Linked DNA regions of Medicago truncatula. The main gene of each other region encodes a partner of the protein of the gene in region 2 in a complex. Links are inferred from orthologs where the notes say so. Each region holds a gene or a part of one and is shown on either strand. Other genes may lie near its edges. The genes, in order: cleavage and polyadenylation specificity factor subunit 2, cleavage and polyadenylation specificity factor subunit 1, cleavage and polyadenylation specificity factor subunit 3-II and cleavage and polyadenylation specificity factor subunit 3-I.

The links.
Region 1: cleavage and polyadenylation specificity factor subunit 1 (region 2) and cleavage and polyadenylation specificity factor subunit 2 share a complex: the UniProt entries of both Arabidopsis thaliana proteins name them as parts of the CPSF complex. The link is inferred for Medicago truncatula from reciprocal best matches to the Arabidopsis thaliana genes CPSF160 and CPSF100.
Region 3: cleavage and polyadenylation specificity factor subunit 1 (region 2) and cleavage and polyadenylation specificity factor subunit 3-II share a complex: the UniProt entries of both Arabidopsis thaliana proteins name them as parts of the CPSF complex. The link is inferred for Medicago truncatula from reciprocal best matches to the Arabidopsis thaliana genes CPSF160 and CPSF73-II.
Region 4: cleavage and polyadenylation specificity factor subunit 1 (region 2) and cleavage and polyadenylation specificity factor subunit 3-I share a complex: the UniProt entries of both Arabidopsis thaliana proteins name them as parts of the CPSF complex. The link is inferred for Medicago truncatula from reciprocal best matches to the Arabidopsis thaliana genes CPSF160 and CPSF73-I.

What each region holds. Positions count from the first base shown.
Region 1 is NC_053042.1:20,056,168-20,063,577, reverse strand, and holds the start of cleavage and polyadenylation specificity factor subunit 2, read right to left. Parts: upstream 3,023-7,410; 5' UTR 2,843-3,022; intron 1,200-2,842; 5' UTR 1,187-1,199; coding exon 772-1,186; intron 695-771; coding exon 568-694; intron 480-567; coding exon 364-479; intron 137-363; coding exon 42-136; intron 1-41. UniProt on the Arabidopsis thaliana protein: CPSF plays a key role in pre-mRNA 3'-end formation, recognizing the AAUAAA signal sequence and interacting with poly(A)polymerase and other factors to bring about cleavage and poly(A) addition. Required for antisense-RNA-mediated gene silencing.
Region 2 is NC_053047.1:30,463,855-30,471,437, reverse strand, and holds the start of cleavage and polyadenylation specificity factor subunit 1, read right to left. Parts: upstream 3,009-7,583; 5' UTR 2,854-3,008; coding exon 2,540-2,853; intron 21-2,539; coding exon 1-20. UniProt on the Arabidopsis thaliana protein: CPSF plays a key role in pre-mRNA 3'-end formation, recognizing the AAUAAA signal sequence and interacting with poly(A)polymerase and other factors to bring about cleavage and poly(A) addition.
Region 3 is NC_053042.1:11,552,166-11,558,995, reverse strand, and holds the start of cleavage and polyadenylation specificity factor subunit 3-II, read left to right. Parts: upstream 1-3,821; 5' UTR 3,822-3,979; coding exon 3,980-4,004; intron 4,005-4,067; exon of another isoform or gene 4,068-4,086; coding exon 4,087-4,264; intron 4,265-4,356; coding exon 4,357-4,429; intron 4,430-5,703; coding exon 5,704-5,821; intron 5,822-6,269; coding exon 6,270-6,343; intron 6,344-6,830. UniProt on the Arabidopsis thaliana protein: Component of the cleavage and polyadenylation specificity factor (CPSF) complex that play a key role in pre-mRNA 3'-end formation, recognizing the AAUAAA signal sequence and interacting with poly(A) polymerase and other factors to bring about cleavage and poly(A) addition.
Region 4 is NC_053043.1:495,033-502,940, forward strand, and holds the start of cleavage and polyadenylation specificity factor subunit 3-I, read right to left. Parts: upstream 3,024-7,908; 5' UTR 2,978-3,023; coding exon 2,540-2,977; intron 939-2,539; coding exon 1-938. UniProt on the Arabidopsis thaliana protein: Component of the cleavage and polyadenylation specificity factor (CPSF) complex that play a key role in pre-mRNA 3'-end formation, recognizing the AAUAAA signal sequence and interacting with poly(A) polymerase and other factors to bring about cleavage and poly(A) addition.

The DNA.
Region 1 (7,410 bases), on a different chromosome or scaffold from region 2:
AGAAAGAGAGAATATAAGTGTAAGTCTTTTCTTGTACTGACCGATTCCAGCATCAGAATAAGTTCCAATATTCGTCCAGCAGTGTCAACAGGTAGTAACACATTGCCACCTGCCCTTAGAGTCTTCTTTAAGATATCTAAATAATCAACAAGATATATGATCAGAAAAAACAAAGTATATAGTCTAGACAGTTTTCTCGTTTCGTGATGAAGACTTTTTAATGCTTGCATGCCTTGTCTTTGAATATCCCAGGCATAAAAATATTTCAGTTTTCTCTTAATAGCAACTCAAGAAAACAAAAAATGAAAAATTCACCTTATTTCTGTCAAGGTGTAGCAATTATAAGATTTAAATGTTAGTTACCTCCAAATTCTTTGTCCTTTTGACGTCTGTAAGGCTGATTATTCAAAGCATTATAAGCATCGGTTATTAGAACAGCCGGGCGAACAAAAGAACCTAGAACAGTTCCGTTCAAATGCCTAGTGAAAATTAGATTGATAAGTAGCTTACTTTCTTGTCGTTAAGAATATGCACGTTAAATTTTGGAGAAGTAAAAAAATAATTTACCTTTCTTTCCTATGATTGAAATCAACAGCATATATGACATCCTCACCATCCTTTGTAATTTTCCATATCGTACCTCCCAAAAGATGTCCAGCAGTATGTGGTGCAATGACGATTCCCTCTCCCTTTCCTAGTATTGGTTAAAATGAATGTCATTGATGGTAACAAACACATAATAAATTGAGGAAGGTGTTATGTTATTGTTACCTGAGAGATGATGATTCTGAGAGTATGTTAGCCTTGTTACAGTTTGGAAAGCAGAATCAATATCATCTAGAGTGAAGAGATCAAAGTCGGACACTTGCTTTCTGGAGAGGAAGTGGTCATACATAGTGAGAAGTCCCAATCTATAAACAGGCTCAGTTGAATAAACAGGAGCAGAAAGTCCAAGATGCTTAATGGCATATGGTAAGGCGGCAAGGTGAAGTGTATCAGGATGTGAAAGTAAAACAGCATCTATAGTTGATGCTACCCTGGAAAGGGGTTGAAGGAGTGAAGGGTCGAAGTGGTCATTCCAACCACAGTCGATGAGGATGTTGAAAGAATCAATGGAAACCAAATAAGAGAGAGGGTTTTCATTGTAAACTCCACAAAGTGGTGTTACTTGCACTGATGTTCCCATGATCTGCCTTCTTCTGTGTGTCAAAATAATAACATAAAAACCGATATGAAGCAAAAAGGAAAATGCATTCAGACATTTGAACAAACAGCTGATATCCAATCCAATTACATGAAACAAAAGCATCAATTTTTTAACATTCCGAAATTCCAATTCTAACTAACAAACAACTTGGTCATAACAAAATTTCATTTCCAATTCCCAATTTTGAAACACTAAAACAAGAAATTGGAAAATCAATTGGCTTACCTTAGAGTGAATAATGACAACTGAGAGAGAATTAGCTGTGACTAGTGGTGACACACTGGTTGTAAGAGAGAGTGAGAAGAAGAGAGTATGCAGTGTCGTTTGATTTTTTTCTTTTATTTTTAAAAAATCGGGCAATAATCATCAGGTGTGGCTATATGAAATCTAATGGGCTCCGTTTACGGTAGGGCTGTAGGAGACATTTTTTTTAAATGAATATGAACCATTGGATAAGGGTTGGATCAAAATACTTTTTTTTTTTTGAAGGAAAATAGCTTATAGCTTTTGATTAAAAATCAACGTCGTAATACAATGAGGTACATCATTAAAAGTATGGGGACTAGCTAAGAAAGTGGCCTCTCGTGCAAGAGTGTGAGCGACCTCATTCGCTTGTCTCCGACTAAACTCTACCATGGAGTTTTCTAGATACATATCACGATTTCTCCGATACTCGTCAATTATTGCTCCAAACTCGGATATATCATTGCAACCTCAATTAAAATAATCTACAACCGTCTTGGCATCCAATTCAAAATCAACATTATTGAGTTGCAGTTCATGCACCCAACGGATGGCGTATGAAAGTCCCAAAGCTTCTCCAACATCCGACGGACAAACAGGATTCGACCACATTGTTCTTGCTCGAATAAATTCTCCAAATTCATTCCTGATGCAGAATCCAAATCCTACACAATTTAAAGCTTCCGAAAACGACGCATCAATGTTGCACTTTAGCCTGCCATGATTGGTTTCTGCCATCGATTCTGCCCAATCTGCACACTGCTGGACACAAATTTTGACTGCTGCACATCTGTAATCGGATCAGCAGACCTGCCAGTCATTCCACCTTGCTGTCGCTTGCTGTTTGCTACACGCCAGTTGACCAACAGCTTCTGTGCGCGTGCAACAATGGCCTGCAATGTCTCTACTTCATTCTGCCATAGTTGTAGGTTACGGCTTTTCCACAAACTCCACAATACCGAAGCAAATAGCTCAGCTTGAGCATGAGACAGTTCTTGTAACAATGCGAAAATGAACTCAGCCGATGTGTTATTCCGCAGCATTACCGAATTCACTTTGCTTAGATAAGGGTTGGATCAAAATACTTATTATATATCTTCAACACTCAATTACTTTCTTTTATTCTAGTGTATTTATCTTCACAGCCACACAAGATTACAAAAAATTCAGTCTACTCTATCAAAGATTCACATAACACCACTTAGGACAATTTATCAAACACCTAAAAGGCAACAAGTGAAATGCATGCAAAAATTCATTCATCCTAAGCCAATAGATGAAATCTAATCTTTTCAATGCATAAATAACGCATAAAAATCCACATTAACTCAACAACAAAAGTTGCATTTGAGAAAGAAAAAAATCACCCAAAATCAAAATCGATGAACTTACTTGATTGGAAGAATAAAACGAAAATGAAGGTTGAGTGAGTGAGAGATGAATATAGAGCGGTGGACTTGGCCGTGAGAGATGTGATCGCCGGCGGCTACAAGCAACTCCGGCTATTTGAGTTCAGTGCTCGTTTCTGATGGAAAAAGAGCCGAGAGAATTCAACTTGGTGATAAAATATTGAGAAACAATATTTGTACATCTATTTTTTTGACAACTTTTGAAACAACATCTTTCTTATATTTACATATATTTTTATTATTTCTCTTCTTCTTTCTTTCTATTGTTTTTATCCAATAAAATGAGGTGAAAAGTGGTTGTCACAACAATTCCTCTTTTTTTGGTTACACATATTCCTTTAAAATATTTGTAACACATATTGAATAAAATAAATATTTTTATATTTTATATAAAATAAAAATCTTCTCATGAAATAAAAACAAACATATAAAATATTTGGACGAAGCCGATGTGGATTGTTGAGATGTTTATGCTAGATAGAAAAATAAGTTTTGTTACAAAATTACATATTTTTATTTCATGACGAGAAGTTTTTTATTTAAGTAATACGGCAGTCGTATAATTTTACTAATTTAATAACGAGTATAAATTTATACGAGTCCATGAACTTAAAAAATATTTATTTTATTTTACATGTGTTAATAATTTTACTAAATCCAATGTGTCAATTTTTGTTTTTACTAAATTCTATAAATATCATCTGCATGTGCATCTATAAATTTACGAGTACTTAAAATATGAATTTTTTTTTTTATTCGTGCTTACTCATTAAGATATTGGTCTTATACCAGCTCGTGGTAAATTTATATGCAGATACGTTGCATACAAAATTTTGGTCGTCCTTAATTATAAGTATAAACCGAACAACGTCAGATAAATACACTAATTTAAAATAAAAGAAAGCAGTTGAGTGATGGAAATGTATATTAAGGAATTTGATCCAACCCTTATCATATGGTTCATATTCATTTTAAAGGAAGAAAAAAACCATGTCTCCTATATTAGAAGACCTATTCAAGTCTCCCATCGTAGACGGAGCCAATCTAACAACTTCTTCATTTATATAACTGTCCCCTCCTAATTTTTATTTTTTTTACAGTTTAACCAAAAAAATTTCAATGGGTAAAATGGTCCAAAATTTATCATGTGATGGTTTAAAATTGTTCCATTTTTTTATCCTTTTTTTTTTCTTCCAATATTGTCATCTACATCATGAAGGTGAGAAAAACACACAAGAAGGTGGGTTGAATTGTGTGAGTCGTTTCTTCTTGTAAGGTGTTAAGAACAAATCTGGACAAAATCTGATGTTTCATATTCTGACTCAGAGTCTGAATGCAGCGGAAATAAATAACATGCAGATTAAAGATAAAGAGTCAGAGAGAGAAGAAAGACACAAATCAATTTATACTGATTCTGTCCTTCAAGGTGTTACTCTTCGTTACAATCCATACATAGTTCATCATGTAAATAACACGTCACATCGAAAAATACATCCTCAAAACATAATCTAATAACATAAATAAAATCCCAACAGTCCTAATAAGAGCACCACTAGTCAAGACTCCAAAAGGAAGCGGTAAAAGAATGCTTCAAAGCCATCCTCGAAAACTCACAGCAACTATACGTCCAACCCGCAGCAAATGTCAATCATCATCACAAGATTATAAACATGTATATTCATATTATATTAGTTCTCATACAATTCACTAAGTCGGTATAACAAACTTCAATCATCATCACAAGATTATAAACATGTAATCACATCATCAAATAATCGTCAAGTTGAACACATTGCATTCACACATCATTGCCATTGTCGAATCACACATTTTTCAAATAGTCACACATAGTCAAGTACACATCTTTCGCATAGACTCACATGTAATGTCCCTAACTTGACTCTATATGCATGTGGTACCGTTTTTGAATATCAGAGGTATGTATTTGAGTGATACCTCATCGTCAAATATTTGGATAATCATAAGCATATTACTGATTAATCCACTCATCGTCAAATATTCGTCGTCAAATAGGACAGACCATGAATGCATGAACATCACATCATGACTCGACAAATAAAATCAACAACATTGTCATATCATCATTGTATAAACATCATCATATATCATATCACAATATTTGGATAGAAATCTTGGTGATTTTGCAAGCAATCTTGGTGATTTGTCTGCTTTTTAGGCGAAGCTGATAGGTATTATTCTTGCTTTGGAATATGTGGCTTCTCATTCTTGGCACAATATTTGGATAGAAAGTGATTCGACTTCTGCGGTTCAGGCCTTTAAGAATGCTGATATTGTTCCTTTCCGTCTTCGGAACCATTGGCATAACTGTTTTCATTTGGGTCTCCAGGCTATATGCTCTCAAATTTATCGTGAGGGAAACTGTTGTGCAGATAAATTAGTTGAGTATGGACATGCGGTTGTGGGTACTGTTTGGTTAGACTCCATGCCTTCGTCTTTGTTGGCTGATTTTTTCCGTGATCGTATAAGTTGTTGAACTATCGGTTTCCTTAGTTTCATGGTTGCACGCTTATTCTTTCTGAGGATCTTGGCCTAGCCCCCCCTCTTGTACATATTATTTTCTCTTTTTTTTTTAATAATATTTATAGAGTATGTGGTAGATAATAGAGGTTTTAGTTGGGTACCAACCTAGTTTGGACGTTTATGTTGCCTCTTGATGTCGTCCCTACATCTTTGCTTAGAAGAAAGAAAGAAAAAAAGATACAAAATTTAGTAAAAATGATTTTTTAAAATTTCATGAAATCTATAAAACGTCACTAATATACAACAGTAATTTCACTATTTGATGAAATTTATTAAAAAATTCAATTAAAAAAACTATGGTAAACCTGTGTTTTACGCGAAATCTATCAAATTAATTGCACTTAAAAAAACTTTTTTCATCAACTTGTAACCACCTTGTACATACAAAGACAATTCTGCTTAGATAGGAATCTCATAACCCTTCTTTATCCCAAAAACCATTCTTAAGACACAATGCTTAATTTATACAATAGCATCATATCATCAATAATGTTTTGAGTTTGGATCTAGCCAAAATGTTTGAAGTGTTTTACCTCGTTTGTGCCTGCTAAATGTGATAAAGGGGGAAAATGCAATTTATAAATCTCATTTGAGTTTATTGGAATAACTGGTGCCATTCATTCTGAAAATTTATATATTGTCGCTGACTTCATTGCAACATCACAGGTTGCTGATAAAAGTTTGAGTGTACTGTCAATGAACCATGAGATATTCATGGGCAAAGTTGTCAAATGTGCATAGACAGACTATTGCATGTTCCCTAAAACTTTTAAGGTAAGTTAAGTAAGAACAAAAAGCTGCATTGAATTTATACTTCCAACAAATAACAACAATGAAGGAGGTGTTTGCAGAGTTTTTTTTTTTTGAATCGGCAAAATATTATTAACCAACAAGCCCGTGCAAGACGCACTAATAAGCTCGGGTGGAGAAAAAATACAAAGAAGGGGAAATCAGTTGCCATACAAACTCCGGCTCGAACAAAAATCCCTTTAAAAACCACCCATAAACTAAGGAACACACCACAAGAGTAATGACGCAGGCATATACAAGTGACAGACCACAAGCATACCCCTGCATCAACACCAAAGGCCGCCGAAACTACTAATAACAGCCAAAACCTGGCAAGCAAACAACCACCAGCCAACTGATACGTCTCGCCCCAGCTGTTAAAACATACAACAGCACTGCTGCCACAAAACCAGGTAGCGCACAGACCTCCTAGCACCGCACCAAAGCTATACAAGCAGACAAGCCAAAGAGCACTGACACCCAAGCATACCCCTGCCTCACCAATCAATATACTTCAGCAGCAAGATGCCGAAGTAACATGAAAACAGAAAATTGAAAGTGGCAGCCGCACAAACCAACTAGCCAAAACTGCACACAAGCCTCACAGTACTCGTGGAAGACAAATCCAACAAGTAACAGCAAAAACTATCCAAAACCGAAACACACCCAAAGTCCTCAAAAGCTGCACAAACCAACCTGCATAGGAATCCCAAACCAAAAGCTTCTACCTCACGAAATACACCGCACCCAAGGACCAAACTATCATCTAGCAAGACAATATCTTGGATTCCAACACCATTCATAGAAAAGGCATGGCGGGTTATTCGTCCTATTCAACATCCATCTCCAAGACAAAACCTTAATCTCCTCAACTATGTCATCCACCACTCTACTAATACCCTTAAAGATTTTGTCATTTCTCGCTTTCCACAAAGTCCACATGGTTGTGTGCCAAATTAACCATAGTCCTTTAGTTACTTTTTTATTTCTTTCCCCACACTCCAACACTCCCAATGCACAAAGAAATTAGATGGAATTAAGAACAAGACCTCCAACCACAACATAATATTTAGCCACACCTTAGACGCCACTTCGCAGTGCAAGAGAAGATGTATGGCCGATTCTTCCTTCAAATTACACAACACACACAAGTTTGAGGCATCCGGTGGTAGAACATTCCTCAAGGCAAGATTAACTCTA
Region 2 (7,583 bases):
TTTCAACATTGCCATGCAACCTGAATCGCAAGCATAAAACCAGGACTGAGATAGATGCCCAAATCAACCACTCAATTCACCAGGGAAACCAACAAAACCATACCAAGCTAAATTTCGAAGTCCAAACAACAATTTACACTTGTGAAGTTATTCAATTGCATAAATAATCAATTTGGATAGAAGTGCTCTTTGTCAAATCTTACTTTTTGAGATAAAAGTTTCCACACGTAAATCACTTAAATTTTAACCAAAATTTTTTTGCAAAATCAAGCTGACGTTCAACAACAACAACAACAACAACAACAACAACAACAATAATAATAATAATAATAATAATAATAAAGAGGGGTGGGGGGGTAGCTCAACTAGTTTGAGCTAAGGGTTAAGGAGTTGGAGGTCTAAGGTTCAAACCAGGACGAAGGAGAAAAAACTAATTACTAACATTTGCCATTCAAAGTAATTATAATAATAATAATAATAATAATAATAATAGTAACAACAACAACAACAACAATTAACATGCCAAAAGTCTAAATTGTGAATTAAGATTAATACGTTCACAAAAAGAATACTAAGACTAAGAGCAATCATATCCTTACAAAAATAATATCAAGACAAGAAGATGAATCCTTTGTCTTATAACAATTAGTTAATCCTATTATAGTGAAAAAAATTCTAAGAGGCATCATTATTTTGCTGTTTGTCTCCAAAAGTAAAAGATCTAAGCTAGGGTTCAAACCCGTAGCCTCCTTGATCATCATAGAAAAACATAGCCACTAGTTCTGGTCAATCAAGTAACAAATTAACAACTTCAAGAAAATATTCATATGGTAATCCAAATGCATTGTTAGTATATATTCTTCCACAAATGCATCTCCTTGACTTTTTTATAATATATATATATATATTCTTTTCTATGTTACGAGTGCCTGAGAAAGCTAAGGGCAGGTGTCAGCTCAAGATGTCCAAGCTGAAAAAATCATACTTTAATTTGGACACCGTAATAATAGGTGTCTAACACGTGTCAAAAATCATACTTCCACGCATTTCAACAGCATGATATCCAATGTACCCTCTTAACCAACCATTCTCTCATTCAAATAATTCTATTGAATCACCCATTTCTTCCCTAAATACACTAAAGTCACCAAATTTGAAAGGTATACAATCCATTTTTCCACACCAAAACAATTTCTCGTTCAGAAATTCAGATTTGAAAAATCGAAGTAAAGCAACAGAGAAGCAAAGCCGGTTTGATACAAAAAAATTTGTTGTGAAAAAATCACCTTTTTAAACAAAATAATAGTAACCGAAGCAGAGAAAGAGTAAGGCGAAAGCTCCTCCTTTACTAAAAAATCAATAAAAATTAATCTTGATTCTCTAAATATTTAAAAAATATAATCCGTAACAAACGGCCCTAAAATTATGCATATTTCTACAACATAATGGCTAATATACCCTACCAAAACAAAAAACAAAACACCAAAACAATTGCACATTCTCATTTACAGATTCAAAAAATCAAAACAGAGCAAGAGCGAGGCGAAACCAGTAAAGATAGAAGAGCTCAAGTAAGCCAGCTTATAAGTTATCCCCTATTTTTTTACCAAATATAGCCAAAATAGGACTTATACTTCGGACAGAGGAAGAACTAACGTGGCTTATACTTCGGACAGAGGAAGTACTCAATTTCATATGCCTAATCAAAACAAAGCTATATAATGACCACTAACTACAGAAATTCCACATATTTCTACAACATGATGGCCAATGTACCCTAACAAAACAACCAATAGCACGATACAGGAAACACCAAATAAGAAGCTATTTTCCGTAGCTCCTCCATAAAATCATTTTTTATAATTGTATATCAAAATCACTTTTTTTATAATCCGTAACAAACTTCCCTAAAATTCCACATACACTTTTTTTTTCTACAACATGATAGCCAGCATACCCTGCCAAAATAAACCATTTGCACAACACGAAAACAATTTCTCGTTCTCGTTTTCAGATTTAATTATTGAAGCAGAAAAGCTAAAATAAAGTTCAATTGTTTTCATATAAGCTCTTTTCATAAGCTAAACTAAAAGTTCAACTATTTTAGTAGTTTTTCAGAAAAATCATTTTCTAATAACTGATTTTTATTTTATAATAATTCTCATTCTGTCAAACAAACACAAGGCTTATTCTCAAAACAGACAATTTCTTATTCTCAAATCCAAATTTCTACTAATTAACTCTTAACTAGTCTAACTATATTCTATATCCTAACAAATTCTCATTTTCAGATTCAAAAAATTGAAGCAGAAAATTGAGTAGTAAAATCACTTTTTTTACTAATCTCTAAATTATCAAGAATCAAAATCACTTTTTTCCAATCGGTAACAAACTCACATTCAAGAAATGAAGACAGAATATTGAAACACATCAACAAATTCACATTCAAAATCACTTTATTTTTCCCAAACCAATTCACATTCGAAAAATCGAATCAGAGCAACATTCAAAAAATCAAAACAGAAAATCGAATCAAAACCTGTAATGACAAACGAGTTCAAGATTGGCACCATTCACCCCATCAAGAACCCTAGAATCCGCATTCAACTTCCCCTTTGCCACATCATGTTGAATTCTCACGACATAAACCTCAAGCACATTCGCGGCAGTAACGACAAGATTCGGAAATGTCGCAACGTCGCGTTGCGGGGCCCAATCGGAGGCGTCAAGGTCATCGGAATCAGGAGGAGGGATACGAGGAGTGAAATCGGAGCGGGAGTGGGTTAAGTAACCGGAAGCGCAGTTGTCGATTCCGGTTGGGTGTTGCATCATTTTGTATGCGGCGAAACTCATGGTGGGGGTGTGGGTTGGAAAAGTGGGGGTTTGATTTGAGGTTGAATGGGGAGAGAGTGAGGTTGAAGGGTGGATTAGGGTTTTGGGTTTTGAGTTTGGCGGGAGGGGTGGTGTTTGTTCAGTGTGTTAGTCACTGTGCTATTCTCGAGTGTAGTAGTTGTAAGCTTAATTACCTTTTTATCATCCATGAACCATAATAGTTACCAATAATAGTTGTCAATAATATCAATCACTATTTAATCATAATATCTTAACAAGGCATAGGATCAAAATGATACTAATAAATAAAGTTAGAGGACCCACATAACGCAAACCCTAACGTTTATTTGAATAAAACTAACAGAAATGATTAAATGTAGTAACGATGAGAAACTTAGAGGACCGAAATAAATCAATTTTTAATTAGAGGACTAATCTGATACCAATTAAATAGTTAAAGGACCAAAAAAGGTAATTTAGCCTTTAGAATATGACTATTTAGTTTTTCACAAAATACAATGAATAGAGTGGTTAATACTTCAGAGAGATGGACGGAAAATAAAATTACTTATCATTTTTCAAGAAAATGATAATTAATTTGATAGTTTTTGTTGAAAAAAGAGGTACATTTATTACACCTTATCTTATGTCATGTTACATAGGTTAGAAAAACCCTTATTATTACTCCTTCTGTTTCAAAATACATGTCCAAGTCAACCACTTCACACATGCCAATGCACAATTTTGACCGTTAATATCTTTAATTATCTAATGTAAAAAATTATAAAAATTTAATATTTTGAAAATATTTGTCGAGACAAATCAAATAACATTTTACATTATAATATTTGTATTTATAAACTAGTTTAAAAGTATGGTCAAAGTAAGTCAAATGAATAGTGCACATTGTAAAAATTAAACATGTATTTTGAAATAGAAAGAGTATTAGTTACGGGGGAGAGTGGCAAAGTCCAAGTGGTGACCAAGTTTATAGGTTCTCTCTCACCGTAATAGCCTTTATTAGCGTGAAAATCCTAACCCTAAGAGAAAAACTCAAGGTTGTCTGTCACGTTGTAATCACAACTCAATCTCTTAATTGTTCATCTCAAAACAATTTTCTTAAATCATCAAGCAGTTCATGGCATCTGTTCCTATCAATTTTGGTTTAGTCTAAACTGCCACACCTTCTTCTTGTGGGAACGCTTTGTCTTAGAACGTTGTAGGAAGGTGTATTGTCTTGACATATTTAGATGAAAATAATATGTTATGATATTGAATATGAAATTTCTTGATTTCGATATTTTTTAGGTTTTATTTTTATTTTTATTTTCGTGATTGATAAGTATAAGAATATGTTATTTTCAATTTTGTTAAAATATGTGATTTGATGAATATGTAAAAGTTCATTAATTTTAGTGAACTAGATTGATGACCTGTGCGCCGCACGAGTCTTGTGAGCTAAAATTTAATAGTAGTAGTATAATGCATTCAGTATTGTAACGTTAGGAAAGATAAATGATAATAATATATTTTAGTAGCAATAAGAACACAAATGAATTTGTAGAACATCTGAAAATAAATATGAATATTCGTTGATTGTAAAAATAATTTGGTAATTGAAGTTTAAAAATATTAGGACATCATTGAGAATTTACATTACACGTTTGAAATATTTACTCATAATATATAAATTAACATAATTACTCATAAATTACGAAGTATTTCTCTATAGACTACTTTTGAAGTTATATTAGTATCTTCATCATTTTTATTATTTGTCAGAATCTAGTATATTCGGCGTTTTCATGAGTTGTCAGGATCTTCTTCTTTTGAAGTAACTTTTAAAACTGCAACATATAATTGATAATGTCAAATGTTCTTATTAATAGTCATTTCAAATGAAACAACAAAAGAAACCGTCTCGGTTGAAACTGAAAAGTAAATCTTACGTCAGAATGTGTCAGAGATAACATAAGTACAAAAACTTTGTCGTCAATTTTACTTCCGAATATGAAATTTCCTTCAAGCATATATTTCAGCATCCTTGTTAGAATCAGTACAAAAACTGCGGACCATATAACTTATAAACCAGGAAAAAAAACTACCGCACAGTCACAATTACATAAGCCCCCCAAAACAGTAGAAAATGATAAAAGTTGTTAAAAAAATGGGTCAATTAATAACAAATCCATACATAGAAATCCTTTGAGAAGCTAACGAATCTTGCATGAACTTATTAAGCACAATCTATGGTCAAACAATTTTCTCCTTGCGTTCATTTGATTTGATCATATAACATCCTTGCTTTGACATAGGAAATCTACAAAGATGCCAAAAAAATGTAGTTAAATATCCGTGTATAACATACTCCCTCCGTCCCATAATATAAGCAAAAAAAACACATTTTCTTTGTCCCAAAATATAAGCAAAAAAGACAAACTTTTATCTTTTCCAATATTTTTTTTTGTTATTCTCATAATATTAAATGCAAATTACATTCAATTTTCTTTTTCTTTCATTTTTTCCATAACCAATAGCCAATAAAAATTGTTTTTACATCTTCCTATAAAACTTTTTCCAAAGAAAACACAAAAAACTATACTCCAAATTCTTATGTTTTAGTTTTCTTAATAAGTGTGATTTTTGTTTTTTTGCTTATAATTTGGGACGGAGGGAGTATATACTTAACTCCAAAAAAAACTTATCACATATACAACATTATACTTTAATTAGATTAAGTCAAAAGGCAATTCAATGAATAGTTATGCCATCAAGCCACTTATAGAATGACCTAATTAGTTGACAACAAAAAAATAGCATGACATAATTAGTCTCTACTTGAGCTCCTTTAAGCTGATTTCCCTGAACAAATAGCATAAAATAAACACCAGTTCCATAAAATATGTATACACAACAAATGGACAAAATTTACAATCAAAAACCTCTCAATTCCCTGCAAATTTCCAACATTAAATGCAGATAAACAAAGTTGATAAAAACACAATACGTATTTAAAAAAAGGAACTCCAACCAATGGTACATAATCTCTTATTTCAAAGTAACTTACAATCAACAAACATGGTTCAATGAAATGGATAAAATCAAATATTTGGAGGCAATGAGTCATCGAAATGAACTCAAAAAATGAAGAAGGCACAATTTTCTGCAACACAAAAGGTGAAGGGACATTGAGATTTTGGAAATGAAAACCTGTAGAAAATTTTGGTCATGGTTAGCCAAAAAATTGATGCTGCTATTTTATACTCTTCTATTTTCAAAGTCTCATCTCCTTGAAGTAAACTATTATACTCTCAAAATTCATTTTCCTTCGTTCTCTAGAATACTTACTCTGAATAAATATTTTGTTGTTCTTATTCCCTGGTAAAAGACACACAAATAGTCTTGCTAAATGATGAGTGCCTCAAGTTGCTCTACTGATTCCCATACCTGCATGCTCAAGTAATGTGATTTTTTTTTACCATATTACATAAATCAAAATCTTCAAATTGAAAATCCAAATATATGAAATTGAACAAAAAATAAACATTGTCAAGGCTTGTCTAAAGTTCAATGATTATGTGTACAAATTATATATGAATGAAAGTTCAATGAAATTTGAACTTTCATGCCCATGAATAAAGTTCCAGTTGTGTCTCCCAAACAATTTTTAATGTACATGCATCATATAGTTTATTAATGCTTATATTCTTAGATTTCATATGCAAAACATACAAACATGACTTTGACTATGGAATGACACAAAATGATGTTATAAAAAAATTAAGATAAGTAGTGTTAATATTGCTGGATGACGGAAAACAAATCTAGTGAAAGTAGGATAAAATTATTCTATCAGCATGACATACATCAAAACCAAAACATGTAAAGCTCATGTGAGACAATATTCATCCACCAACCACTAGCAAGCTTAAATATGTAAGATTAATAAAAGAATGTAAAGCAAAGGATATTCTTAATTGGAAACTAAAAATATAACGATAGATTAGAGATGTAACTACAAAGCTGCAAATTAATCAACAACTAATATTAAGTAGGAAAATTACATTTCTCAAGAACAATGAAGCAAAGCAACTATTAGAACTACAATCAAATTCAGCTGATTTTTTCAAATAACCAAAATCCAACGACCTTTGAAAACTAATTGTCATATGCTTATATTTAAGGGTTAATAGTGTTTTACCCCCCTGTAATATAGGTCATTTCCGGTTTTACCCCCTGTAAAATATTTTTTTTGGATTTCGTCCTTGTAATTTGATGATTTTTGGTTTTGGACCTTCATGAATTTTGACAGTACAAAATCAAAGATATGATAGGGGGTAAACCGAAATTTGCTCAAATTAACAGGGGGGTAAACCGAAATTTTCTCAAATTACAAGGGGGTAAACCTAAATTTGCTCAAATTACAGGGAGTGAAATTTTCCATGAAGGTCCAAAACCAAAAAATCTTCAAATTACAAGGATGAAATTCAAAAAAAATATTTTACAGGGGGGAAAACCGGAAATGACCTATATTACAGGGGGGTAAAGCACTATTAACCCTATATTTAAATGGCTTAAATAGATCTTTCGTCCCTGCAAATATAGGTCATTTGAATTTTCGTCTCTGAAGTTACTAATAAATTACTTAACGTGGGGAAATGTACAGTAATTAAATGTAAATGCAGCTGCCTTTTTATTTTGAGTAGTGTGTATTCTTCACAAAAAATAAAATTGAGTAGTATGTAATTGGT
Region 3 (6,830 bases), on a different chromosome or scaffold from region 2:
ACACCATGTTGCATACTATGATGTGCAATTTTTTTTTAATAAGACAAACAAACTACAACTTACTAAACAACATCATTGTATCCAAAGTCATAGAGAAAAGATGGAGATTTCAAGTAGAAATAAATGAAACAAAATATACGTGACTAGTGATAAAGACTTCAGGCAATTTTCATAAGCCCACAACTTTGTTTTCCACTATAAATTTTGATTAAACATTTTTCAAAACGAAATTCCTACTTTAAATTCAAGGGTGAGCTGATGCAGTTGCACAATTGCCCTCTTGCGCGCATTTAAAAAAGAAGTTATGTTGCATTTTTGTTTTCATTTTTCTCACATAGAGCATGGATGAGTATCTCGAACGTAATAAGATTCGTCTTGCAACCCTTATTTCCATTTTAGTGAACAAATTTATTGCCTCCTCACACATATTCAGTTTGCACATGCCATTAATCATTATATTATAGGTGATGACATCCATAAAACCTTCTCTCATCAAAATATCATCAAGAACTGATTGCGTATCTTTCAACTTATCAATCTTAAGAAGCCCATTAATTAGGATATTTTGTGTGAATACATCTGCATGAGCCCTCCATTGTTCTTATCAATGTCTTAACATCCTGAATATGCTTATGTTTAAACAAATGATTCACAAAAGAATTATAAGTGTTGACATTAGGGGACAAGGACGAGTAGCATACATCTCTTGTAGAAGCTTTTGAGCACACAATACTCTATGTATCTCTTTATTTTTTCAATGTATCTCTTTATATATTGAAAATAATCATAAGTTTTCAATATTTTATCATATACACTTTTTCATATATGTATATAAAATTTGTTTATGCAGATATAAACATTTAAAATCTGCAAAGAGAGCGGTTTATACATTGAACGGTGTTTTTCATTTAAAGTAGAAATTTAATTAATAGAAACATTGCATTAATGTTGATATTTTGAAAATAGTCACTTGTTTTCAAAATTTTATCATATCAACTATTACATATCGATACATAAATTTTTTCTTGTGCATAAATAAGTATATAAAATCTTCAACGAGTGCAATTTAAATATTAACGGTGTTTTTCAATATTTAATGGTGTTTTAAATATAAAATATATATTTTCTTAATAAATACACTACATTAATATTGATATTTTGAAAATAGTGATAAGTTTCCAAAGTCTTATCAAATTGACTTTCTTATATGTGTATATAAAACTTTGTTTATGCATATATAAGTACAAAAAATCTGCAACGGGTGCGATGCAAATATTGAATAATCTTTTGCATATAAATAAAAAGTTATTTAATAGAAACACTGCATTAATTTTGATTTTGAAAATAGTAATGAGTTTTTCAAAATTTTATCATGTAAACTTTTTCATATATTTACATAAAAAATTGTTTTTTTGTATATATAAGCAAATAAAATTCATAATTGGTGTGACTCAACTATTTAACAAATTTTTGTATATATAAGAAAAAATATTTAAAAGAAACATTACATCAATACCTATGATTTTCTTTTAATATCTATAAACATTCTACAATATTCACAATCTAATTATTTTTCGTATAATTATCGCATTCGCACGGGTCATTTACTAGTTGATTAATGTGCTCGTGAGCTTAACTATGTTGGTAACTTTTCCACCCTAAATCAACAACACACTGGATACTAAAAAGTGAAAACCCACATATCGTCAAAACACCTGCGATGGAATCTTCAAACATACTTTCTTTCTCCTTGTGTCCACCTCTCTGACGACGATGCATTCACACTATATACACCGCATCACATAAATTTTTAAAGGATTTTTTATTGTTGTTTGAGGTAAGTTCCGACGGCAACGTCGTTGTTGTCAAACTCAGCAAATTCCGGTTAGAAATCGCCTCTCTCAGACCTGTTGGTTTCCACTATGGTTCAATCCCCGTTCCGACAATTAATCTTTCGGCTTTTCAGTCCTCTCTTCTCCCTCTCAATAATCGATTCACTTGTCTCTGATTCAAATGAATTCTAGGCTAATTGTTTCGTGAATGCAATATTCAACAAAGATTGACATTGGTAAAGGTGGTTGTGTGTTGTGCCGCGACTGAGGTAGCCTGAGATGCAGTGTTGAGTTTTCACTTTTCAAACCGTGTATCTTCACCATTGATTTGATCGGATGACTATCTTTTCATTGACTTTGTGACTACAGTAAATCACAATTGCAACTAAACGCCTATTTGAATGGTCCCCTTGAACGCAACTTTTGAACGAGTTAAGGAAAAAGAAGTAAGTGCATGTAATATAGCTCACTCATTGCACTACTTCTTCTGCAAGTGTTGTGCAACCATTACATCATCAATGAAAATCAAAACTCTAGTTTTAGGTATATATTTTCCGTCGTTCATTTTATGCTACAATCGAATCTCTTTTACGGTTATCAATTTCAACCAAATATGCAGGCGCTGGCCAAGAAGTTGGAAAAAGCTGTGTAATTAAGTTATATATTATTCCTTAAAAAAAAAAAAAAGAAGTTATATATTATATTAGCTAACAAATAACTTTAAAAAAAGAAAAAAAACTAACAAAATTACTTTTCTGCTTTAAGTTAATTAAACTTTTAAACATATTGTGTTTGGAGACTGATTCCCTCAAAGTTGTCAATGCTTTCAATAAAGGTTTTGGAGTCCCTTGGCAGATGCGAGCTAGGTGGCAAAATTGCTGGGATTTTTGTCATAACATTTCTTGTTCTGTGTTCATATCCTTAGGGAGGGAAACATGGTGGCTGATGCACTTGCTAAGCATGGACAAGGACTTTCTCTATACTACTACACACAGTTGTGGCCTTCTCCACCTCCTTTCATATCCCACCTTCTGTTAAGAGATAGGCTTGGATTACCTTACACTAGATTAGATGTGACCTGAGATTTTCTGTTTGTTTCTGAGTTCTGAGATTGTTTTTTGTTTTGTTTGAATTGGTTTGTATGCGGTTCAGGCTTCTCCTGACTTTTATTTGAATTTCTAGCGTTATCAAAAAAAAAAAAAATTGTCCTATGTCTCCTGACTATTATTATATCTAAACTAAGAATATATTCCAAATTTCCGTCTTCCCTAACCTTGAGAAGGGTATGCGCTGAAACACCATCGACAGTGGAGCACTAGCACAGCCAAGTAGAAAAATCAAATCTTTGCTTTTATATTATATAAATTTTCAATGGTTTTTAGTATACATTTTAATTTTCTTTCTCCTCTTCTTTGAATTTTAACTTTCAAAGTTTGAACTGGGTTTGAAAGAGTAAAGTGAGAAATTAAGACAAACCATGCTTGATCTTTTCTTTATATTAGAGAATCAATTGTGGCCAGAAGCCAGAAGCTACAAGGAGTAGCTTTTCTTAGAATCGATTTTAGGATGGAGAATCGATTTTAGATATGGGTAACCAAACATTACTTTAACCATCAAAAGCACTTTAAACCACTGTAAACGTACGTTTAGTCCATCGGAACGTGGAACCAAACACGTACTTATTGGTATAGTGTCCATAAAAATTGAGTTTGAAAGAATTAATTTTGGTTAAAAGTGAGTTGAATGTGAATTGATTTATATTTGAATATACTATTTTAAAAGTGATTCTTATGAGTTCATTTAATTTGGATAGTTTGACTCAAATTATCCTTTTTATTATATATAAAACTAAATATCTCTTTCTTATTTTAGATAATTATTTAAACTTATCTAAAATCATAATTGGATTTTTATTGCTTCACAAATTTATTTTAAAATAATATTAATTTACATGAGTCTTTGTTTTAAGAAGAAATATGTTTGTGTAGATTCACGTTTTCTTCTATCCAAAATATCACAGCAAAAACGAGACTCACGTTTAGAGAAGAAAACGCAGGTTTGGAGGTTGAATACTTTTTGAAGAGAGTGCATATAGCTCACTGCACTACTTCTTCTCCTGCAAGTGCTGTGCAACCATTACATCATCAATGACAATCGAAGTTCTAGTTTTAGGTATATATTTTCCTTCCTTGCTTCATTCTATATGCTACAATCGAATCATTTTACAGTTATCAGTTTCAACTAACGTGTGCAGGTGCTGGTCAAGAAGTTGGAAAAAGCTGTGTAATAGTTAAAATCAATGGAAAGAGAATCATGTTCGATTGTGGCATGCATATGCGTCACACTGATCACAGTCGTTATCCGGATTTCAAAAAGATTTCAGATTCTGGAAATTTCAATGATGCTCTTGACTGCATTATCATCACTCATTTGTAAATTCATCATTCATTTGTTCATTTATTTTTTTTAATGTATAGTTTTTTTTAATTATTTTTTGACGTTGTTGTTATTGATGTTGGTGCAGTCACTTGGATCATGTTGGAGCATTGGCTTACTTCACTGAAGTTTGTGGGTATAGTGGACCGGTTTATATGACGGTGGGTCGCCTATTACCTGTTTGATGAAATGTCTAACTCAATGTAATGCTATGAACACTCTCTTTTCAATGCTTGCTCTAATACTCTCTTTTATTCGATGAAATCAATATAAGACCCACCATTTTATGCGGCTCCCATGTCTTAAGTGTGAGACCCACATTGATTTCACCTGATAAAATAGTGAGCGTTGGAAAGAGAGTGTTCCCGACACTTCTCGTTTGACACTATATGATGTGTTGTTGATTTATTTTTATTATTATTTTTGGTTGATATGTTTTTGATAAGTAAAATGCTTTTTTGTACTAAAAGTTCTTAGATGTTACTCAACTTGGGCCATGTTTGGATAAACAACTTAATTAATCATTTAAGTGTTTAGGTATAAGCTATTTTTATAGCAAAAGATAAAATCAAATCAAATTGTTTTTATATAAACTACAAATTGGTTTCAAGCTATCATGTAGAGCTTAGGAAAATAGTTTATGGATATGTCATAAGTTGTTTCCATAAGCTCTATCAAATAAAATAATCACAGCAGTGCTTTTGTTGTGGATAAACTCAAATAAGCTAATCCAGGCATGCCCTTGGTGGAATGCATGTACTGTTATGCAATCTTTGTTTTTGATTTCAAGTTAGTTGCTAATTACTTATTTTTTTATTTTTATTTTTTTTGTAAATAATATTGTTGTTTACTAATTGTCATGAAAGTAAGACTTTGTTCTTTGTATGTTTTGATGATTGTGTGAAAGGAGATGTTAAAATTAACAAAATAATCCCTTATTAGTGTCTTGTAATTATTTGTATTAGTAAAATCAAATATAATGGAAATGAAAACAGAAAATAAACTAAATGTAGCCTTTGTTGGACATTTTTGGCATGAGAAAAGAATGCGAAACCTTTATGCAATGTTTCCTGAACGTGCGGCTTTGGATCGAAAAAAGTAAAAAGTAATGCTAAGTTTAACAGGTTAAAGAAACCCTTAAATTAATTAAATAGGAAAGTATCTCGTAGAGAAGGGTATTCTTGATTAAATTTCAAACTTATCCAAGGAAGGAAATAACGGGCAGAAAAACGTTGGTGGTTAATTGTGGTTGTTGTTGTACTTTAACATTTGTTGGATGATTTCAACTACATATGCATATAATCATGTTATAATTTTTGCTTGATGGACGCCGTTCCAGTCATTGCTTATGGTGCTTTGAATGTCTAAGCACTGTCTCTTTGGCTGTGATTCCACGATAATAAATTTAGCTTGACTTGTATTTGATTTTAAGCAGTACCCAACAAAAGCTTTGTCTCCTCTGATGTTGGAAGATTATCGAAAAGTGATGGTTGATCGTCGGGGTGAGGAAGAACAATTCACTTCTGATCATATTGCTGAGTGCATGAAGAAAGGTAAAATAGGATTCTCTTTTCCTTTGCAGTATCTATATGTTGGTTTGAGTTAGATAAGACATGTTACCTAGGAATGCAAGATACATGATGTATACTGTGGCTGGCATAGTTGCTTATGACCATGTTTAAGTTAGAATTCTATGTAGCTACTGTGCACAAGGATTTTAATGTAGGATAAATATTATTTTTCTGGTCTATAAATGTCATTTCAGTTTTTTTTCTTCTTCGTAATTGTTTATGTCGGGAGAGAGAAACTAGGATTACACGGTTTACATTTTTGTGTGAATTTTAAAGAAGATTCTGCTATGCTCAATCAGTAGTTTGGTGTGTGTTTTAAACTTTTGAACACATCAGTTTCCCACCCAAAATCACCACACCTCTGACATTAGCATCTCAATTTTATATCTTGATTATACTTGTTCTAATTTGATTTGATTCCTGTAAACAGTTATTGCCGTAGATTTGAAGCAGACTGTGCAAGTAGATGAAGACCTGCAGATACGTGCATATTATGCAGGACATGTAAGGCTTGTGAACTTCATCAATGAACTCGTATTTCCTTTGCAGTAATAGATTTAACACCTGGTATTTTGGTTATTTTCTCACCATAGGAGTTCTTGTGAGTATTAGATGCTGAAAAAATTGTCAAATCAGAAACCATACATCACATAAACAGAATGCGATGAAAGAGTCTTGTTGAAAGTCTGGAAGGGGTAGGATTCTCAGAGTTCTAACTGAACGTGTCGAGTATCATTCAAGATTAGGGTTTAAACTTTAAATAGTTTAGATAGCAGAAGAAAAATAGCAATGCAAACTAGTCCTGAACATTTATTTCCCGATTTAGTCCAGTTGGGAGATCTTTTGATTTTGCACCTGCAAATACCATAACTGCTGAAGAGAACTTGGTTCTCTGAAACTCCTATCTGCAAGGTTCGGGTAAGTGTTGGACACATTATGTGGGTATATACGAGGCCATCTTACCTTGTATTTGCAAGAGGTTAATCCATTA
Region 4 (7,908 bases), on a different chromosome or scaffold from region 2:
ACAGACTGGCAGTTTTTTGGAGTGAGGATCTTGGTGTTACGATCAGCAAACTGAGTCATGAGCTTCTGCTTGAGCCTCCCCATCTCATTAGCTGCCCCGTGGACAAGAATTATGTTAGGCGGATTGAGCTCTTCCAAGAATGCACTTGTTTGAGCAGAGTCAGCATGAGCAGAAAAGGAAATGTAGTGCACCTGCATGTGGAGAGGTGCAGAGAGTCCGTTCATCAGAGTAACTTCCTTTGGTTCATTGAGGATGGTTTTTGCCAGTGTCCCCTCAACAACATATCCAGGTATAACACAAGAATTTTTCTTGTCAGAGCACCACATATCAAATAATTGTCGCGACAACCCACTCTGAAGTCCACCAGGGCTCGCCATCACAACAGATGGTCCTACGTCTTTAAAAATATCAATGCTACTCAAAGCTGATATGTGCTTAAAGGCAAATGGATTTGACTTTGCATTCTGAATCCTGTCATTCATTGAAAGGGTGTAAGTCTCGTAAACAGTCAAACATTTTTTTGCAAGAGGAGAAGCATAATAGATGGGTATATTCTGGAGCTCCGGATGATTTGCCCAATACTCATCAAGGATCAACAGTAGCTCTTGCGCACGACCGAGGGCATAAGCTGGAATCAACACACGGCCCCCTTGAGATATGGTCGAATGAATAACATCAGTAAAGCGTTTTTCTCGGGTGTGGCGAGGCTGATGGTGTTGTACACCATAGGTGGATTCTATAATGCAGACATCAGGGGAGAACTGTGGGGTCTCTGCAGCTCGAAGATGTCTGTCTTCCTCGCGTGAATAGTCTCCTGTATACAGCACTCGAACACCAGCAATGTCAACCATAAACATAGCAGCACCAAGGACATGGCCTGCAGTGTAACACCAGAATCTGATACCGTTCACTTCAACCGTTTGATGGAAATCAATAACCTGCAGTCACCAATTACTACTACTGTTAACATGTATGTTCAAACTAAGAGCAAAAAACAGACATTACAATAACTATTGTTCAAAAACTAAAATAAAACCCTAAATTCAACGGCAATTGAAGAAAACTGCGTATGATGCATTGGTTTGGGAATAGATTGTTGAACACTTGATATTGTGCAGTTGTGTGGTTTTTCAGACAATGAACAAAAGTTACATAAATGCACTCGCTTGATGGGGCTACATGATAATTAGAAACATGTAGAAGTATACCAATAACAGAAAGAAATTGCAGAACATTTGATTTATCCGTTGCAATTCTGGAAATGGTAATAAAGAGACATAAGATAAATTTTTGCAGGTTGTAGGACTTTATACAGGAGAAGACATATTGAACCATAAAAGTTTATGTCTTTATTGTCACATGTGTAATAAATAATTTTGTGTTGTGATAATTTAAGCTTTTTCCAGCTCATTCAAGCCTATCTCCGCGCCAAAAAAACTACAAGTATATGTGTCATTGTCTCTTCTACAATGATCATTTTCTAGATTGTAGATGTACTTTATTCAGGTAATTTGAGGAGCAACATTGTATATCTCACTGCATATTTGCATATATTGGGGGGAAAAACACCATGGAATAAACATTTCACAATACTTAATAATAATTCTGATGCAACACATTACATCTCCGCAGCAATATCAGTACTAATTGTATTTCTTTAAGGTTTGCACTTAGATTCTGTCTCTAGAAATGCAACTCTATCATCACCACAACTCACTCTGGTTAGGTACTTGTTTAATATACAAAAAAATAATGAAAAATTACATAATATAAGATGGACTAAACATAATTTTAAAACCAATCTCATAACTCATGCACATATATTTTACACGTTTCTATTGATCAATGTATTATATTTGTAGGAGCTGGTTAGCTATGTAATTCGTAGTAGGAACTTGCAGTCACCAATTAGTACTACTGTTAACACATACTTATATTCAAAATTAGAAGCTAAAAAACAAAACATACACAATCTTACTTGTGTATTTTAACAGAGATTACAATAACTACTTTCACATATGCACTACCCTAAAAGTCATTAACCATGATTACTCGTTATTGATAACTTTTAAAATGTAGTAAAGTACTATGCTTAACTTTCACAAATTTATCCATGATTACGGTGAATAACTATTTCAAATAACCACCAAAGAAAAGATGCATTTTAAAATTAAAGCAGAATTGTAGAAATTGTAGAGGTATATAATTGGTTTTGACATGTTTGGTTCCTCTAAAGTAGAATTGTCTTTGGCTCCAAATTTGATTCTACTTGAGGCTAGAAATTGTAGCTTCTAATTCATACAGTCAAATTTATTGCTCAACTCACCTTAAGATACAAATATCAAAACATAAATCACTTTACCTTCAAATCAACTTTAGCCGGAATCAATTCACTCAAAATAAAATTTTAACACCGCATAACCAAACATAGACATTATCATAATAACAAAATAAAACCCTATATTCCATAAATTCAAAATCAAAACCAAAATTCATAAACATAATTAAATCATAAAAAGAGCGGACAAAGGAACCTAACCTCAATTTTATCCATGGAGCGATTAATATCTTGTTCATCATAAAGCATATCATCAACAGAAACCTTACTGACTTTAACATAATCAGACAAAAGAAGCTTATAAATTGCTTTCGTAGCGTAAGTCATGAAAACTCTCCCTTTGAAAGTAGTCTTCTCGAGAAAATAAGGAAGAGAAGCGGCGTGATCCAAATGAAAATGAGTAATGAGAAGAACGTCGACAGTTGAAGGATCGATTTCATCGAAGTAAGGAAGCGCCGCCATGCCGGAGTAACCAGGATGAATACCGCAATCGAATAAAACGGTTTTTCCTTTGTAGGTCATGTAAACGCATGATCTACCTACTTCGTTTCCAGCTCCTAATGGTGTTACTATCAATTGATCTTCGGTTTCTCTGTTAATGGTACCACCGTTTGATTCGCGTTTCTTTACTGAACTCATTTTGATTTTTGATTCTGATTTGGATTTGGATAAACCCTATTTGGAGTAAGAAAGGTGAGTGTAGACGACGTCGTTTGATGCAACAAAAATTAAAAAAGATAAAGATAGTTGAAAAAGAATTAAATTATGCGAGCGACCACAGTGGGAGTCGAACCCACGACCTTCTGATCCGAAGTCAGACGCGCTAATCCACTGCGCTATGCGGTCCTTGATGTTATGTACTTCTTTCGAATATTAATATAAAGTTTGGAACTAATGTTGCCACATGAAATAAGAATAAAACCTGTATTATTTTCCTTAATTTTATAATTTGCTCTCAATTAAGTTCTTGACTTTATGAATATTTCAAAAGGTTCTTGAATCTTTTAAATTTTAGTCACATTAGTCCTTCAAAGATTATGTTAGGAACTAAATTGATAATAAATGGATAAACTTAGAGATTAAATTGATAGTAAATGGTTAAATATATGAACTGGTTTGAGAGTTTAATAGAGTCGGAGATCATTTTAAAATATTCATTAAGTTAAAGACTTATAAAATAGTGTTCTACAACGTTAGGAATAATTTGATGGTTTATTTATTACTTTTGTGATTTGAGAAAACGGAGCATATTGTATACCATCCATGGCATGAGAATTTAATATTCCTTAAAAATACCATATATAAAAATATTGTAATAAAAATTCTTAAAAATTAAATTTTATTTCGTCGAAATTTTTGGTATATAAAATTTAATTATCTTAGTTGTCAATGATAGAAAATAATTATTTTTCTTCAAAAAACAACTAATTTATTATTAATTTTACGACTTGGTGTACCGATACACCCAAATTTATTGGGTGTACCATAGAATTTGCCCCAACTCAATTGTGTTTACAAAAATATTTATGAAAAATCAAGATTATAAGCATTTTTCCCAGTTGATTTTTTAACACCCCACATAGCGAAAAAGAAAAGTTAAATACTACAATTGCAAAGAATACTACAAGCTATTGGAGTATTTATTTTTTAATAAGGTATCAAATGCATACGAATATTCATGAAAAATTAAGAGGCTACTACGTATATATTGGTAATATTGAATCACAGATTTGGTCATCTAATAATTGTTTATATGAAAATGGTTGTGTAAAAAAACCTCATTTCATAAAAGATTATTTTGGAAATTCAATTTCCCAAGTAGTTATGAAGTTTTTCTACACGAAGAAATCAAAAGATGTCATCAAAAATTAAAAACACCCAAAACATATGTCTAAAGAGGTACGACTATATATACATCCACACACATACTATTCTTCTCCACTGAACATTTAAATTCCAAGCATAAAGAAATCAACCACAATTATCACATAATTGGTTCCAAAACGTATTCCCCCTGTTGTGTAGCCACCTTCTTCCTTTTTTCCCTCGCTCCTTAATCCTCTTCATTTCATTTACAGGTCAGTTAAATGGTTTCTTGCCAAAGTCCAATTGTCACATAATAATCCATTGCCCCTTATTTGTGACTGCACCTCCTTGTTTGCTTATTCACACCAACCCATGATTTAAAGGCAAGTGGCACATAAATAAAATTTATAGAAGCACAATTAAGTTTTATTTCTTTGCTCCTATGACTACTAACTATAATAATAATAATAAAATAAACTAATTGACTCAATTAATAAATAAAATCATAATTTATTTAAAATGACTCTAAATGAAATACTAAACTAATAAAATATACTAAAAACTTAATTAAAAAGACTCCAAAAATGTGATATGGCGGACTATCATCAGCAACCTGAATAGAATTCGGCCATGTCGCACACCATTTATCAGACAACAAGAAACGAAAATCGTCATTAAGTGTAAGAGTAACTTTCCACCATTTATCAGACAAAATTAATACATGAACAAAAAAAGAATATAATACAACGTAAATATTATTGGCTACAAGGACTGAGTTCGATGCTCTAAGTGCTTTTTGTATTAAACAAAATCATCATTAAGTGTAAGAGGAACTTTCCACTAAAGCCCATTATACGGAAAACCCCAAAAGGCCCTTACTCAAATCCTTTTAAATAGCAGCGTGAAATCACAATTAGTTGGAAAACCCTTCTTACTCAGTACCTTAGTTTTCGCCCGGTATCGCAAAACTATTAACTGAGAATCCAATTTTTAGGGTAGCCGGAAAAACATTAGAACCATACTAAAAATTATCCTGTTTCTCGGAGTCCATTATCACAACCCTTACTCAACCGTCGGAAAACCTTTACGCAAAACTCGTCGTCTGAAACCCCCACACCGTTATCTCAAAAGTACAAAACTAGTCAATGAAGATGGAAATAAAAGCATAAGCACAAAACCGACAACGGGTCACTGGTATTCCCTCCGAGGAAGAGGAAAAGGAAAAACACATAAAGGAGAAGGAGAAGCTGCTTCTGGAGAAGGAAAATGCAAAGGCAAAGCAAAAGGAAAAGATAAAACCCGTCGACAATCAATGGACACTCAACCAGAAAAGTTTTAAAACCAAAATTCTTTTATAAAATCAAAACTGACGCCATCCGGACCCAAACTTTTAAACCTGTCACAATCCCAAATAGCTTGCTTCACCTCCACCGGTGAAAACAATTTTATTAGAGACCCTGCTTCCGCACCTGACAACTGACGAAACTGAAGACCACCCACTCCTGGCCAACGAGCACTTAGCAATTTGAAATTAGTCAAAAAATGAGTAATGATAGATGACCGAACATTATTCGCACCTTCAACATTTGCACCGTCCACCAACACCATGTTAATGGTATTATGACGTTTCCTACCGGACATAACTCCATGAATTTTTTTTGAGTTAGCATCACCCTCCTTTAACCAATTCATCCGTGATTTTTGCCAATTAATAATATTTTGAACCTTTTCCATAGAATGTAGATTAACAAACAAGTCATGTAGCTCCTTCAACTCATCTTCAGGTAATGCTGACAACTCTGCTTTCGAATCTAAAGTGGATATCTGATTTTTGACTGCCATAATCTTGCTGTCCAAATTCTTTACGTGTTGCTGGTGCCAATCCTTCAGACTAAATTTCAACATTTTCAGCTTCTCTTTCAATACATGGCCGCCCCATCCTTGACACTGAAAAGAACCCCATTTTTCTCGGACAAAATCACCATACCCTAGAAATTTCGACCAACATTTAAGCATCCGAAGCGGCCGAGGTCCCCAATTAGCTTCTTCAGTTATTAACATCAAAGGAACATGATCAGATAAGCCCCGTTGATAGGCAACTGACAATTGGACTTTGGCCAAGAAACCATTTAGCTGACCCGTAAATGGAATGGAGAGGATTAAGGAGCCAGGGAAAAAAGGAAGAAGGTGGCGCTACACAACAGGAAGGGGGGAATACGTTTTGGAACCAAAGAACAGGTAGCACACTTTTGAAGATTTCTGGGTTTTAGAGAAAGATGGCATTTCTAGAGAGAAACACAAATCAAGGTGTTAGGAGTAGATTCTACCCAAGATTTGTTGAGACATCATGAGTTTTAGTCTCTATGGAGACGATATACAATACTTACTTTTGATTGATAGAAAAATACTACATCAAAATGAAAGTGTGCTACCTGTTCTTTGGTTCCAAAACGTATTCCTCCCTTCCTGCTGTGTAGCGCCACCTTCTTCCTTTTTTCCTTGGCTCCTTAATCCTCTTCATTTCATTTACGGATCAGCTAAATGGTTTCTTGCCAAAGTCCAATTGTCGCATAATAATCCATTGCCCCTTATTTGTGGCTGCACCTCCTTGTTTGCTTATTCACACCAACCCATGATATAAAGGCAAGTGGCACATAAATAAAATCTATAGAAGCACAATTAAGTTTTATTTCTTTGCTCCTATGACTACTAACTATAATAATAATAAAATAAACTAATTGACTCAATTAATAAATAAAACTATAATTTATTTAAAATGAATCTAAGTGAAATACTAAACTAATAAAATATACTAAAAACTTAATTAAAAAGACTCCAAAAATGTGATATGACGGACTGTCATCAGCAACCTGAATAGAATTCGACCATGTCGCACACCATTTATCAGACAATAAGAAACGAAAATCATCATTAAGTATAAGAGGAACTTTCCACCATTTATCAGAAAAAATTAATACATGAACAAAAAAAATTAATACAACGTAAACATTATTTGCTACAAGGACTGAGTTCGATGCTCCAAGTGCTTTTGTATTAAACAAAATCGTCATTAAGTGTAAGAGGAACTTTCCACTAAAGCCCATTATAAGGAAAACCCCAAAAGGCCCTTACTCAAATCCTTTTAAATAGCAACGTGAAATCACAATTAGTTGGAAAACCCTGCTTACTCAGTACCTTAGTTTTCGGTATCGCAAAACTATTAACTGAGAATCCAATTTCTAGGGCAGCTGGAAAAACATCATGACCATACTAAAAAGGGTTAATGGTGCTTTACCCCCCTGTAATATAGGTCATTTTTTGTTTCCCCCCTGTAAAATATTTTTTTTGATTTACCCCCCTGTAATTTTTTTTTTTGAATACCCCCATAATAGGTCATAAAAAAACGACTTTTTTTTTTTTTGCAGAATTTTTTCGTTCTTTTATGACCTATTAGGGGGGTATTCCAAATTTTTTTTTTTTTTTACAGGGGGTAAATCAAAAAAAATATTTTACAGGGGGAAAACAAAAAATGACCTATATTACAGGGGGGTAAAACACCATTAACTCTACTAAAAATTATCCTGTTTCTCGGAGTCCATTATCACAACCCTTACTCAACCTTCGGAAAACCTTTACGCAAAACTCGCCATCTGAAACCCCCACACCGTTATCTCAGAAGTACAAAACCGATCAAGGAAGATGGAAATAAAAGCATAAGCACAGCAATAGAAGAGGGGAAGGAAAGCACAAAACTGACAACGGGT